Macaca mulatta: one gene and its partner. The protein of the gene in region 1 binds, or shares a complex with, the protein of each later gene. Links are inferred from orthologs where the notes say so. Each region holds a gene or a part of one and is shown on either strand. Other genes may lie near its edges. The genes, in order: AP2A2 and EPS15.

Region 1 (3,811 bases):
TTGCTGAGGAAACCGCCCCCCCATTTCCCCTCCCTCCATGCAGTGAGCCGAACCTGCTCGTCCGCGCCTGCAACCAGCTGGGCCAGTTCCTGCAGCACCGTGAGACCAACCTGCGCTACCTGGCCCTGGAGAGCATGTGCACGCTGGCCAGCTCCGAGTTCTCCCACGAGGCTGTCAAGACACACATCGAGACTGTCATCAACGCCCTGAAGGCGAGTGCCCTGTCCTCGGGGTCTGCTCACTCCCTGAGCAGGTGCTGTGGGCCTTCCTGTGAAGGCTGGGGGGACGCAGTGCTTCCTGACTCCCCGCAGAGATGGAGGTGGTGGCTGGTGCTGCTGGCCTCTGCCTGTCACCTACTCTTGGGAGGTCACACCACAGTTGAGGGCCATGCTGCCTGGCGATGGCCAGGACGGCCCTGCTCTGCTGGTTAGGCTGAGCACACGAGTCCCTGGCAGCCCTTTCCCTGCTGGGGGCAGGTCCCCGTGTGCCATCCTGCATGTGCATAATGCCAACAAGTAGAAATAGTTCTTCTTGGTAGAAAGATGAAATTTTTTCCCTCATCTCTGAGAAAATCAGGAAACTCACTTTATTTGGGGGTTAAAATTTCAGAGTTGGAAGACCCAGTTGAGGTTGGCCATTGCCAGCCTTCGTGAGACTCCAGAGCGACCCCGAGGGTTCGTTCCATGTAGGACGTGTCTGCCACGTCCTTAGTCACCGGTGTGCATGTGTTAGGAGGTGGGAGGTGGGGAGCTGCACGTCTCCCGTCTGGCTCAGCCTCAGGCTGTGGCAGGGCCGCTCCCGGCCCTCCGCACGTGTGTGTGCAGCTCACGGGTGTTCTGGGTGGCGTGCGAGGGGCTCGTGGTGGGCGTTTGGTATTCTGGATTCTTCTTGGTCCTGGTTCGGTGTGTGTTTTAGTCAATCCCTATTGTCAGAAAGGCTGGACGCTCATTTTAATACGGCCAGTGCTAGGGCTGGCAGTGCCCACTCTCCTGCCGTTTGCTGGGAGCAGAGCTATGCAGACCTCGGGCTTTCTCATGCTGCAGAGCCTCTTGGGGGCTCATCAGCGGGGGCTCATCAGCACGGGCTCCAGGGTGGGGCGTGAGAACCTGCCTTGGGGCAGCTCCACGGCAGTGTCGGAGGCAGCGGGGTCTTCAGCTGCATGGAAGCGAGGCCTTAATAACTTGCACCAGGCAGTGCGCTCGGTCCTAGCGAAGCTGGCCTGTGCGGAGGGAGGCGCGGGCGAGGAGGCGGAACTCTATTCCGGGCCGTCTACACCAGGCAGTGCGCTCGGTCCCAGCGAAGCTGGCCTGTGCAGAGGGAGGCGCGGGCCAGCGGAGGGAACCCAGGCAGTGCGTTGGAACCTAGCGAAGCTGGCCTGTGCGGAGGGAGGCGCGGACGAGCGGAGGGAACCCAGGCAGTGCGCTGGGACCTAGCGAAACCGGCCTGTGCGGTGGGAGGGCCGGGTGAGTAGGCGGAACTCTTTTCCGGGCCATCCAGACGCATGCGGCCCGAGTGCAGGTCGGATCCTTGGACCTGGATGTGTGTGTGAGGGAAGCTCAGGGTGGGCGTTGAGATGCGGTGCCGGGCCTATCCCCAAGCCTGGGCCTTGCTCCTGCGGCCTCTTACTCTGTGCCTTGTTCCCCAGACCGAGCGGGACGTGAGCGTGCGGCAGCGGGCCGTGGACCTCCTCTATGCCATGTGCGACCGCAGCAATGCCCCACAGATCGTGGCCGAGATGCTGAGCTATCTGGAGACGGCCGACTACTCCATCCGAGAAGAGATTGTGAGTTCTGGTGGCCTCTGAGTCCTCTCCTGCCACAAGCACGAATCTCAGGGGCGGAATTTCCTTCGTGCTCTGTGATTCTGTCCCGCAGGGCTTGATTGAGAACCCATGAGATGCTGGATACAAGGCTCCTCTGCCTCTGCATTTCAATCCACATTTTCAAGCTGGGTGTGGTGGCGCCTGTGGTCCCAGCTACTCCGGAGGTGGAGGCGGGAGGATCACCTGAGGCCAGGAGGTTGAGGCTGCCGTGAGTCGAGATCATGTCACTGCACTCCAGCCTGGGCAACACAGCGAGGCCCTGTCTTTAAAAAAAAAACAACAACTCATTTTTGGTAGAGTCATTTGGTCTTGAAAATAACTATTGACCGGGTGCGGTGGCTCACGCCTGTAATCACAGCACTTTGGGAGCCTGAGGCGGGTGGATCACCTGGTTGGGAGTTCAAGACCAGCCTGACAAACATGCAGAACCCCTGACCCCATCGCTACTGAAAATACAAAATTAGCTGGGCATGGTGGCGCATGCCTGTAATGCCAGCTACTCCGGAGGCTGAGGCAGGGGAATCGCTTGAACCTGGGAGGCAGAGGCGGAGGTTGTGGTGAGCCGAGATCCTGCCACGGCACTCCAGCCTGAGCAACAAGAGTGAAACTCCATCTCAAAAAAAAAAGAAAACTAAAACACCTGCCCCGCGTGGCTTCTGTGGCCTGCCTGTCCTTTCGGTGGTGGCACTGCAGCCCCAGGTCTGAGTGAGGCTGTAGCCGTCTACGGTGGGGCTGTACAAATTCAGACTCCTGTGGGCAAAATTCTTTTATTTGTTTAATTATGTTGCATTTTGAGCCCTTGAATTAATCCTTTGTGGCTTGGCTTTTTTTTGTGTCTCTCTCTTGATCTCTGGGAAGGACGGGATCTAGGCCATAGCTTAATTTCCCATGTTGTTTTTATCCACAAAGTAGGCGTGCATACTTGCCAAATTGCTGAAGCTCATCGAACCTGTATGTGTGAAAGACTGAGCATCAGCAGGGCACAGTGGCTCATGCCTGTAATCCCAGCACTTTGGGAAGCTGAGGCGGGTGGATCACGGGGTCAGGAGATCGAGACCATCCTGGCTAACACGGTGAAACCCCATCTCTACGAAAAATACAAAAAATTAGCCGGGCGTGGTGGTGGGCACCTGTAGTCCCAGCTTCTGGGGAGGCTGAGGCAGGAGAATGGTGTGAACTCGGGAGGGGCGGATCTTGCAGTGAGCCGAGATCGCGCCATTGCACAGAACGAGACTCCATCTCAAAAAAAAAGAGAAAGGATGAAAGACTGAGCATGACCCAAAACTTGAGGGAGGGAACCCTTGTGGAGGCCACATGGTCAGCAGAGGAGAGGGCCTGAGGCCTCCACCATGCTCACAGGCCTCTCAGGCTCACTGTCTGTGGATGGTGGGGTTTAAGGGGCAGGCCCGGGTGTCCTCATGTGGGGTTGGCCACTGTCACCAGCCAGGACCACAGCCTCTTGTTGAGGCTGAGACAGTGCCTCCATTGTATAGAAAACACTTTGTTATTTGTCTTTTTGGGCAAAGTACAGCTCGAGGCCTCCTTGGGCGCTTTGCCGAGAGCCATGGTCGGAGCTGGTGGCAGGTGACAGGTCGCTTTGGGCGGGTGGGCGTGGCTATGCCCAGGTGAGAGATGCAGGTTTTCAGGGGTCTTTAGTGAACGGAGGGGCCCAGGTACTGGGACTTCAATGCTGAGGGGTGAAATTATCACAGACCGAGCTTCAGTGAGGCACTGCAGACCTGCAGAGGGCGGGGACCAGGAGGTGACTCTCACGCTGGACTGTCCACCCTTCAGGACAGGGCAGTGGGCCTGGGAAGTTGAGGGGCCCAGGAACAGGGGTGGGCCGACTCCCGGCAGGAGGCCCCAAGGGCAGGCACCGCGGGGAGCGTTTGGTGTAGGGCAGGGCTGTCTGTAGAGTGGCCAGGCAGGTGCTTGTTGACTGCAGCCAGTGGACCCTCTCTGGCCTGGCTGGGGCAGTGTGGCCTGGTC
Region 2 (3,811 bases), on another chromosome or scaffold:
AGCCTGGCTAACATGGTGAAACCCTGCCTCTACTAAAAACACAAAAATTAGCCAGGCATGGTGGTGCGCGCCTGTAATCCCGGCTATTCAGGAGGCTGAGGCATGAGAATAATTACTTCAGCATGGGAGGTGGAGGTTGCAGTGAGTTAAGATCACACTACTTGTACTCTAGCCTGGGCAACAGAGCAAGACTGTCTCAAAAAAAACCCCAAAAAGACAGTTTGAAATGCTGTAGAATCTAAGCTGACTATTTTTTATTTCACAGACTCCTTTGCAATTTTGATAAAAGATATAGAACCTTTCACCTAATAAACTTATTTTTTAAAATTAACATATAATTTCAAGGGATCCAATTTTAAGTTTCCTTATTCTACGCTATCATAACTAAAGAAAACACAATAAAAACTTCTAAATGTATTTTTCTCTCTGAGCTCAAAGCTAACAGCCAATAGTTTAGAACAGGTTTGGGATGCAAAAACTAAACGGTAAACAAGATTTGCATTATTCTAATGAAAATTCCCAGAAAAAGAGTATCTTAAAAAGCCTGGTGTTTTAGTAATTCTTCAAGATCCTCTTCCTCTAATCACATGTGTGGGCTATAATCATAGGAAAACAAAATTACATTCTAAATCCCGAAGTAGTATAGATCATTATGTTCACCAAACCTTTAGTTAGTAAGGAGGAATCAGAATAAATATTAAAAGCACCAAAGTGTAAACACTAATGTCATTTTTAAAAAGGTAAAGCTACTGGGCATAGTGGCTCATGCCTGTCTGTAATCCCAGCACTTTGGGAGGCTGAGGTAGGAGGACTGCTTGAGCCCAGGAGTTTAAGATCAACCTGGGCAACACAGTGAGACCCTGTCTCCACAAAAAATTTTTAAAAAAATCAGTCAGGTGTGCTGGCATGAGCCTGTAGACCTAGGTACTCAGGAGGCTGAGGCAGGAGGACTAGTTGAGCCCAGGAAGTCAAGGCTGCAGTGAGCCATGATCACACCACTGAATTGCAGCCTGGGTGACAGAATAAGACCCTGTCTCAGAAACAAAAAACACCAGGAAAAAAAAAAAAAAAAAAAAAAGAGAAGTAAAAGTAAAGCAACAATTTATTAAGCAAAATCTCAAGAATTTACTACTTTCTTTCTGAAAATGCCAGGCACATAGAGTATCTTACTGGGGCTTCAGTTTCAGACCCAAATAACGTAAGTTTATTATTAACCGGAAATGAATGAAAGCTAAGATGAAACTCAGTAAGATACTGACCGATTTTTCCAAAAGGATCATCCTTGAAAGGATCACCTGTGATAAAATAAACAGAAAGAAATCCAAATAACAGTATTTACTGTGATGACACCGTTACTTAAAGGGTAACTTTAAAACAAAAGCAAAGCAAAGTTTATTTCAATAACTTCACTTCAAAGTAGATAAAATAAGGAATGTCATTGACCTTATTAAATGTACAGCCAACTATACTTACCTTGATCACAAGTTGAGGTTACAGATGGAGGGGAAGATGTTACACCCAAAATTTTACTAACAAAACCTCTACTCTTCACAAGAGTACTGGGAGGGTGTTATTATCACCAGTTCAGAAATAAAGATACTGAGCTTTACTGAAGCGGGGAAAAAAAAAAAATTCTTACAGGACTGAAGAGTCCAGAAATAAATCCTTACATTTATGGTCATTTGATTTTTGAAAAGAGTATCAAGAACACAAAATGGACAAAGGACAGTCTTTTCAACAAAAGGTGTTAGGACAACTGGATATCCACATGCAAAAGAATGAAGCTTGACCCCTATCTCACATCACATACAAAAATAAACTCAAAATGGATCAAAGATCTAACTGTTAACAGCAAAACTATAAAACTCTTAGACAAAGAGAGCATTAAATCTTTGTGACTAAGGTAATAGTTTCGTAGATGACACCAAAAGCACAAGTGATAGAAGAAAAAATAGATAATTGGACTTCACCAAAATTGAATAAACACTTTTCCAAAGAAGACATACAAATGGCCAATAAGCATCTAGAAAGATGTTCAACATTAGTCAGCAGGAAAATACAAAGCAGGCCAGGCGCAGTGGCTCACGCCTGTAATCCCAGCACTTTAGAAGGCTGACGCAGGTGGATCACCTGAGGTCAGGAGTTCAAGACCAGCCTGGTCAAAATGGTGAAACCCAGTCTCTACTAAAATACAAAAATTAGGCCGGACGTGGTGGCTCACGCCTGTAATCCCAGCACTTTGGGAGGCCAAAGTAGGCAGATCATGAGGTCAAGAGATGGAGACCATCCTGGCCAACATGGTGAAACCCCACCTCTACTAAAAATACAAAAATTAGCTGGGTGTGGTGGCAGGCGCCCGTAATCCCAACTACTCGGGAGGCTGAGGCAGGAGAATCACTTGAATCTGGGAGGCAGAGGTTGCAGTGAGTCAAGATTGTGCCACTGCACTCCAGCCTGGCAAAAGAGCGAGACTCCATCTCTAAATACATACATACATACATACATACATACATACATACATACATACATAAAGTTAGCCGGGTGTGGTGGTGGGCGCCTGTAGCCCCAGGTACTCAAGAGGCTGAGACAGGAGAATTGCTTGAACCCAGGAGGTGGAGGTTGCAGTGAGCCGAGATTGTGCCACTGCACTCCAGCCTGGGTGACAGACTGAGTTGGTAGGCTATTGAAACCAAAGCCTTAATCCTTAGTTTATATATTACAAAGCCTTTTTTTTGGGTAAAACTATAATAGAAAAAAAAAAGAGTACTTACTGCCAACAAAAGGGTCAGACTGGAAAAAATCCAAGTTTGTATCTGCAACTGGATCTGTCAGCGAACTTGAGTCTACATTAAATGGATCTTCCTAAAAATAATTTTTAATTAAAATTTTTTTTTAGAAACCAAAGTTTTAAAAGGTAACATTTTAAAATAAAATAACATATATTCAGGTCATACACATGCTTTGCAAAATCAACTGATGGGCCGGGCACAGTGGCTCACACGTGTAATCCCAGCACTTTGGGAGGCTGATGTGGGTGGATCACAAGGTCAAGAGAGAGAGACCATCCTGGCCAACATGGTGAAACCCCGTCTCTACCAAAAATACAAAAATTAGCTGGGCGTGGTGGCACATGCCTGTAGTCCCAGCTACTTGGGAGGCTGAGGCAGGAGAATCGCTTGAACCTGGGAGGTGGAGGTTGCAGTGAGCCGAGATCGCGCCACTGCACTCAAGCCTGGGCGACAAAGTGAAACTTAAGTCTCGAAAACAAAAGAAAAATCAACTGATGGTAATGTAACAAAATATTTCTCTAGTCATAAAGTACATTTAACACGTTTCTCTTTCCTTCACCTAAAATAGTGTATAATTCATCTAAGGAAAACAGTATAAGGACATTTTTAAAATATATCATTTAATTTTTAGAGATAAGGTCTCTCTATGTTGCCTAGTGCCACCAGCTCAGGCTCAAGCAATCCACCTACTTCAGCCTCCTGAGTAGTTGGGACTACAGGCACTTGCCACCACATCCAGCTATTAAGAACATTTATTTATTATTTATTTATTTTATATGTATAAATTCAAGGGGTCCAAGTGGAATTCTGTTACATCACTATATTGCCTAATGGTAAAGTCGGGGCTTTTGATGTATCTGTCATCTGAATAATGTATATTGTACCCATTAAGTAATGTCTGATAATTCACCTCCTCCTGTCCTTCCACCCTTATGAGTCTCCAATGTTAATATAGAATTATTTTTACCTCTTTTGAATGTCTGTTATTATCGAGTTCAGAACAAACTTTTTCAGTAACAGCT

What was found.
Region 2: the proteins of AP2A2 (region 1) and EPS15 are in contact, whole or in part, in a crystal structure (PDB 1KYU), measured with the Mus musculus proteins. The link is inferred for Macaca mulatta from reciprocal best matches to the Homo sapiens genes AP2A2 and EPS15. Residues at the interface, in XP_006536218.1 of Mus musculus: Phe442, Phe443, Trp446, Lys447, Asp487, Pro488, Val494, Arg511; in NP_031969.1 of Mus musculus: Asp629, Pro630, Phe631, Lys632.

The regions. Positions count from the first base shown.
Region 1 is NC_133419.1:884,638-888,448, forward strand, and holds part of AP2A2 (AP-2 complex subunit alpha-2), read left to right. Parts: intron 1-43; coding exon 44-212; intron 213-1,645; coding exon 1,646-1,783; intron 1,784-3,811. UniProt on the Homo sapiens protein: Component of the adaptor protein complex 2 (AP-2). Adaptor protein complexes function in protein transport via transport vesicles in different membrane traffic pathways.
Region 2 is NC_133406.1:189,272,281-189,276,091, reverse strand, and holds part of EPS15 (epidermal growth factor receptor substrate 15), read right to left. Parts: coding exon 3,757-3,811; intron 2,863-3,756; coding exon 2,772-2,862; intron 1,296-2,771; coding exon 1,260-1,295; intron 1-1,259. UniProt on the Homo sapiens protein: Involved in cell growth regulation. May be involved in the regulation of mitogenic signals and control of cell proliferation. Involved in the internalization of ligand-inducible receptors of the receptor tyrosine kinase (RTK) type, in particular EGFR.